Linked DNA regions of Macaca mulatta. The protein of the gene in region 1 purifies or fractionates together with the protein of each later gene. This does not show direct contact. Links are inferred from orthologs where the notes say so. Each region holds a gene or a part of one and is shown on either strand. Other genes may lie near its edges.

The links.
Region 2: the proteins of THEMIS (region 1) and PTPN11 purify together in Homo sapiens (co-immunoprecipitation; 3 studies listed by BioGRID and IntAct, counting the BioPlex papers as one, with this or other methods). This does not show direct contact. The link is inferred for Macaca mulatta from reciprocal best matches to the Homo sapiens genes THEMIS and PTPN11.

The regions. Positions count from the first base shown.
Region 1 is NC_133409.1:32,845,178-32,848,367, forward strand, and holds the end of THEMIS (protein THEMIS), read right to left. Parts: intron 2,521-3,190; coding exon 2,311-2,520; 3' UTR 711-2,310; downstream 1-710.
Region 2 is NC_133416.1:119,689,461-119,693,289, reverse strand, and holds part of PTPN11 (tyrosine-protein phosphatase non-receptor type 11), read right to left. Parts: intron 1,083-3,829; coding exon 888-1,082; intron 1-887. UniProt on the Homo sapiens protein: Acts downstream of various receptor and cytoplasmic protein tyrosine kinases to participate in the signal transduction from the cell surface to the nucleus. Positively regulates MAPK signal transduction pathway. Dephosphorylates GAB1, ARHGAP35 and EGFR.

The DNA.
Region 1 (3,190 bases):
CACTTTTAAGACATTAATTACATTTTTTAAAAGCATTTGATAACAACAACAAACTTTTATTAAGGACGAATGGTATGTAAAGTTTAGTGATCTGAATGAGCATAAAGTCACAAGTCAGAATAATATTTGTATCTTTTCAGCTATACTAAAATAACAAATATTTATTCGTTTTGTATATTGTGTGACTTCATAATTTTATAATCAGTCCTTTTCAATTTTGTGTGTGCCTTCATAAATAACAGTGGATTTATTATACATTTCTTGTGGTCTTTAATGTAAAATTTGATTCTTGTTTGGCTAATTTTGTAGTCAATCGCCTTCTGATTTTACAGAATTCCCTCTTATTTTGTTCTCATCAGATCTAAAATCATCTGTGTAATTGGCTCATGGTAAATATCTCAAAGGAGAGCATTGGAGATATTTTAGCCTCTTACAAAGAGGCTAAAAGCAACTTGTCCTATTAGAAGTGTATCTTAATTAAGTATTGCTTAGAAAGTTTCTAAGACATCATGATTATATTGAAGTTAGATTCTGGACAAAGTACATGAAAAAGTTTAGGGCTATAAAATGTTTGCTGAGAGTTCTTCCTTAAATAATGCATGCACAAATATTTTCTTTGTCTATGAATTTTTAGAGTATCTATGGGCCCTCTGGTCTCTTAAACTTAAAGTTCATTTTCACTTTCCACTCTCTTCTATTTCTAAGACAAATTTTTTTCTTATGTTTTTTTACTTTTCAAAATTTGGAAAAAAATGCTGATTTTTGGAAGCCTATTTTTATGCATTCTTTCATAGCCATCTTGTGCTCATTTTCTGTCCTAATATTTATCGAGCAAAATTTGGTTTGGGAAGCAAACCTAAAATATATTTGTTGATGTAGGTCTGATATCAATGTAAACATCACCAAAGATTAAAAGTAATGGTTAGCTTGCAAGAAACTGGGGAATTGTAGCAAAACTTATTTGCTCAAATATATAGCTTATGTCTTATCAATTTATTTTTAGGCAAGGCTTTTATTCTAAAATAAATTCATAACTGACAAATATAGTAATGGAAAATTCAGATAAATCTGTTTCAAAACTGCATAGCCAACTGGAACTTATCTCCTCCACTTTTCTTCAACTGCTCTTTTGATTTTTTTTTTAAAGAAAAACTGAAGGTAATAAGCTCAAAGAAAGGAACATAAATATCTAGTGAGCCCACACTCAACTTAGTGATTACAGGCACTAAAATTTCTATAGAGATTATAGGAAGTTGGCAATTCAAATGCCCTCACTTAATACATACTATGTAATGAACTGATCATTTTTTCTGTTATTGCTACCATTTCAAAAAGGAATTTCCATGTAGTGGGCATTTAAGTAAGTGAAAACTATTCTAATTTTCTTAAAGGCCAGAAATCTAATGCAAAGTAATTTAGTCCAAATTTTGCTCAAGCCTTTTGCTAATCTATTGAGAAAATAAATAAATTTTATAAATTCAATGTTTTTTCCTGCTAAAAAAGTAATATTCAGTAACACTGAAAATATGACATCACATATTTGGTGGTATTTTTGTTCCTGATACTATAGGTAAGGAGTGGGGGAACAGTATTAACTAATGTTTTTCATCATTGCCCCCCAGGTGAGAACATTTTCAGTTGTTAGAAAGTTCAGAGAGGGCAAAAATGTTAGTTTATTCAAATATTTCCCATTGGAAGTGTACTTCAATTATGCCATAATGAAAATCATGTTCTTTAGCCATAAATTATCCAGAGAAAATCAGTATTTTATTATTAGTCTGATGACTTGTTTATTGTTTCTTGAAATTTCCCTAAAATCAGGTGATATTTGCAAATATTTTAGTTTAACCAATTCTTTTTCATTTAAAACTCAATTATACCAATTCAGCTATCCAGATGGAAGTATCAACACACTACATGTCACGACCAGAACAAAACTAAAATTCAGATCACTCCTCTCCCATTCCAGAAGCACAAAAAAAGCTTATAAATATTCTGCATATGCCATTGGGCACAGATTTGTACCTTCGAGGTTTCAGCTGTAACTCAAGTTTGGTTAACTTTCAACCCAGCACTTTATTCATCCTTTGCCCTCTTCTCCCGTCTTTTTCACTTCCTTAGTTGTCTGTTTATAGCCCATGCCATTTACTAGACAACAGACCTCAGGAAACTCAAAAATCATGATTTATTATCTGTACATGTCTCGCCTTAAGGAAAGCTCAAATAGCTACTAAAAAAAATGCTAAAATTGGCTGGGTGCAGTGGCTCATGCCTGTAAGCCCAGCACTTTGGAAGGCCCAGGTGGGCAGATCACAAGGTCAGGAGTTCAAGACCTGCCTGGCCAAGATGGTGAAACCCCATCTCTACTAAAATTACAAAAATTACCTGGACATGGTGGCAGGTACCTGTAATCCCAGCTACTTCGGAGGCTGAGGCAGAGAATTGTTTACACCTGGGAGGCAGAGGTTGCAGTGAGCCAAGATCGCAGCATTGCACTCCAGCCTGGGCAACAGAGTGAGACTTAAAAAAAAAAAAAAGCTAAAATTGTATCTCACAGTCAAAATTTGTCAATTTTTTAAAGGAAGTTCAAAAGTTTCCTGTATTTTTCCTATTTTCAGATTCAAAAACCCAATATTTAAATATGTCCATATTCCATCTTCATTGTGTTGGGTCTTTGAAAAACGTTATAACAGTAATTTTCCCTGTTCAGAGGGAAATCAGAATTACAGCTTCTATGTTACACGAAAAGGACCTACCATGAGTAGAAAGGTGGGAGTGTTAAGAAGCTCAGTGTCAGCTACAAATTCAAACACTCTTAATGTATTTATACTACATCAGGTTAACAAAAACAAAAACAAGTCACATCGTTTGTGACCAAACCCTGTTGATAACAAACAAGTGGGTATAATACTGCTCTCTAATGATCTAGATTTAGTCCAGTAACGTGGGTTTCTCTAACATATTTCAGCCACTGTAACTGTCACACCACATCAGAAGTGACAATTTAGCACCAGCAGCAGCTGCTGAAGTGTTCTCTCTGCACTCCCCAGGAACCATTGCTTTCCTTCTGCCTTTTTCAGGCCTCACTCTAATTCTAGTGCAGGATATTTTTCTGCTCATTTCACAGTACCTTGCCATTACTGCCTCCCTTGCTCTTTGTCTTAATGTCTCCTATGGGTGTTCTTGTCCG
Region 2 (3,829 bases), on another chromosome or scaffold:
ATGGCAGGTGGTGTTAATGGCTCATCATCAAACGAATAAACTTTGAGTTATTTTTCATCCACACTCAACTGAAAACAGTAAAATTTAGAAATAAACTGTACAGAGTTGGCTGACAGTCTTTTGCCTGAAGCTATAGTGGTAGCTAGAGAAACAAATTATCAGCACATAATAGCACTGACATAAAGGTATAAGCTAATAAAATCATACCTGAAGACACAAAATATACAAACTAAGAGATCCTGAATTTGCACCAAGTCAGAGAGGAGACTGGGAGTGTACAAAACAAATACAATCAATAAATAAGTCAAGCCCATGCTTTCATCAGGCTAGTTCCAATACAGGGGGACAGATCTTGAAAATAACACAATTCTCTCTAAGTAAGGTCACTCTCACATAATTGTGGAGATAACATTAAAAGAATTGATGAAAAAGCTGACCCTCTGAGCTCTCTGCTTTTCCACTTCTGAGCTTAAACTGACATCTGTTGGTGGCACTGCTGAATAACTGGTCGAGAGCCACCATAGAAAACTGCTGCTATTTTGGTGTCTCCATTATCATTTGTTTTCTTCTAATAACTCTCAAAGATTATCCGCCAAAGTTCAATAAGTCTTAAAACTAATACATGTAACCAAGTATATGCAGGAATGCTATGCAATCCCCATAGGATGAGTGTAAGTAACACTGATTAAAACTTTTGCAAGAAAAAGGTACTCTGAAAATAATTTGATGCTATTAGTCTCACTTTAATAATTCTTTAAAGATTACAGCTCAAAAAACAGTCACAAGCCTTTGGAGTCAGAAAGTCATACACAGACCTCAGTCATGCATTTCTGACACATAGGGCACAAGGGAGCAGCAGACTTTGTGGTCACTAAAATGTTACTGACCTTTCAGAGGTAGGATCTGCACAGTTCAGAGGATATTTAAGCTCAATAACATCTCCATTCTTCTCTTTTAATTGCCCGTGATGTTCCATGTAATACTGGACCAACTCTGCCAAAGTGGCAAATTTCTCCCCTCCATACAGGTCATAGTAATCACCAGTGTTCTGAATCTTGATGTGGGTGACAGCTCCATTTCTTCTAAAATAGTCCATTGGAAAGGGAGGCAAGGGGACAAATAACGAGTTACACCAGTAAAATCAGATCTCATGTTCCACGTCAGACTTCATCTAAATGTTGAAAGAAACCCAAGAAACGAATTTACCCATTCCCTATAAGAAATATGATGGGTGAAATAACCACATAATCAACCAACTCAACACAAAGGTCTTTTTGTTTACCTTGCATATGTTTGCTCTTGTTGCCCAGGCTGGAGTGCAATGGCGTGATCTTGCCTCACTGCAACCTTCGCCTCCCAGGTTCAAGCAATTCTCCTGCCTCAGCCTCCTGAGAAGCTGGGATTACAGGAATGCGCCACCACGCTCGGCTAATTTTGTATTTTTAGTAGAGATGGGGCTTCTCCATTTTGGTCAGGCTGGTTTCAAATTCCTAACCTCAGGTGATCCACCCACCTCAGGTGATCCTCCCAAAGTGCTGGGATTACAGGCGTGAGCCACCACGCCCGACCTATCTGGTATATCTTCTATTTTGAAAGACTGGCCTATCGAATTGCATATATTAAGTAACAATAACTGAATAGCTACCAAAAACCATTTTGCTTTTTAATCATAAAAATGTATAAACAAATTGTGTTACATTACTATTCATACAATGGAATACTATGCATTGCAAAAATTGCTGTTACTATTCATGCAATGGGATACCATGCAGCAATTTGTTTGTTTTGTTTGTTTGTTTGCTTTTTTGTTTTTGAGACAGAGTCTCACTCTGTCGCCCAGGCTGGAGTACAGTGGCACAATCTCGGCTCACTGCAAGCTCCACGTCCCAGGTTCACGCCCTTCTCCTGCTTCAGCCTCTCAAGTAGCTGGGACTACAGGTGCCCGCCACCATGCCAGGCTAATTTTTTTTGTATTTTTAGTAGAGACAGGGTTTCACCCTGTTCGCCAGGATGGTATCCGTCTCCTGACCTCGTGATCTGCCCACCTCTGCCTCCCGAAGTGCTGGGATTACAGGCATGAGCCACCGTGCCGGGCTACTATGCAGCAATTAAAAAAAAAAAAAAAAAAAGATAGCCAGGCACAGTGGCTCACGTCTGTAATCCCAGCATTTTGGGAGGCTGAGGTGAGAGGATCACCTGAGGTCAGGAGTTCGAGACCAGCCTGGCCAACACGGTGAAACCCCGTCCCTACTAAAAATACAAAAATTAGCCAGGCGTGGTGGCGGGCACCTATAATCCCACCTACTGGGGAGGCTGAGGCAGGAGAATTGCTTTAACCTGGGAGGCAGAGGTTGCGGTGAGCTGAGATCACGCCACTGCACTCCAGCCTGGGCAACAAGAGTGAAACTCTGACTCAAAAAAAATAAAAATAAAAATAAAAAGACACATGTAATTTTAAAGACACATGTAATGACACAGTTTTGAATATGAGGTAGTGTTATCCCAAAGCACAAAACAATATATGCAAAAGGTTACTACATTCATGGAGGCATTATGTATCATTTTAAAATACTGGACACAACTAAATCGCTACCTGCTGGTGACAGTATATAGAAGTTATGAAATATTCACATGATAGAATGCTATCCAGCTGATTAAAAAGATGAGAGAGATCACTAAAAGATTTAGGTAAGTGAAAAAAAATTACAAAGAAATATATTTAATGTTCTACTTGATGTGTAAAAATAAAAGGAAAATAGTAATAAAAATATAAATTTGCTTATTTTTGTAAAAAGAAACATAGGGCTGGGCATGGTGGCTCATGCCTATAATCCCAGCACTTTGGGAGGCCGAGGCAGGCAGATCCCTTGAGGTCAAGAGTTTGAGATTAGCCTGGACAACATGGTGAAACCCCATCCCTACTAAAAATACAAAAATTAGCTGGGCACGGTGGTGTAATCCCAACTACTTAGGTGGCTGCGTCATCAAAATCACTTGAACCCAGGAGGCGGAGGTTGCAGGGAGCTAAGATTGTGCCACTACACTCCAGTCTGGGCAACAGAGCAAGATTGTCTCAAAAAAAAAAAAAAAAAAAAGAAAGAAAAAGAATGAAAGAAACACATAAGAATAAACAAGAAATTAATAGAAATGGCTACCTACAGGATGGAGATAGTGTGGTACAAAGGAGTAGGAGTAAGAATGAGATTTCTCAGGCCAGGCGCGATAGCTCACGCCTGTTACCCCAGCACTTTGGGAGGCCAGGCAGGTGGATCACTTTAAGTCAGGAGGTCAGGACCAGCCTGGCCAACATGGTAAAACCTAGTCTCTACAAAAAAATACAAAAATTAACCGGGCATGGTGGCACATGCCTGTAATCCTAGCTACTCAGGAGGCAGAGGCAGGAGAACTGCTTGAACCCAGGAGGCTGAGGTTGCAGTGACCCAAGATTGTGGCCACTGCACTCCAGCCTAGGCGAAAGAGCGAGACTTTGTCTCAAAAAAAAAAAAAAGTCAGGCATGGTAGCTCATGCCTGTAATTCCAGCACTTTGGGAGGCCAAGACAGGTGGATCACCTGAGGTCAGGAGTTTGAGACCAGCCTGGTCAACACGGTGAAACCCCATCTCTACTAAAAATACAAAAATTAGCTGGGCATGGTGGAACACACCTGTAATCCCAGCTACTCTGGAGGCTGAGGCGGGAGAATGGCTTGAACCCAGGAGGCAGAGGTTGCAGTGAGCTGAGATCATGCCATTGCACTTCAGCCTGGGCAATAAGAGTGAAACTCCTTCTCAAAAAAAAAAAAAAAAAAAAAAAAAAATTAGATCTTTAT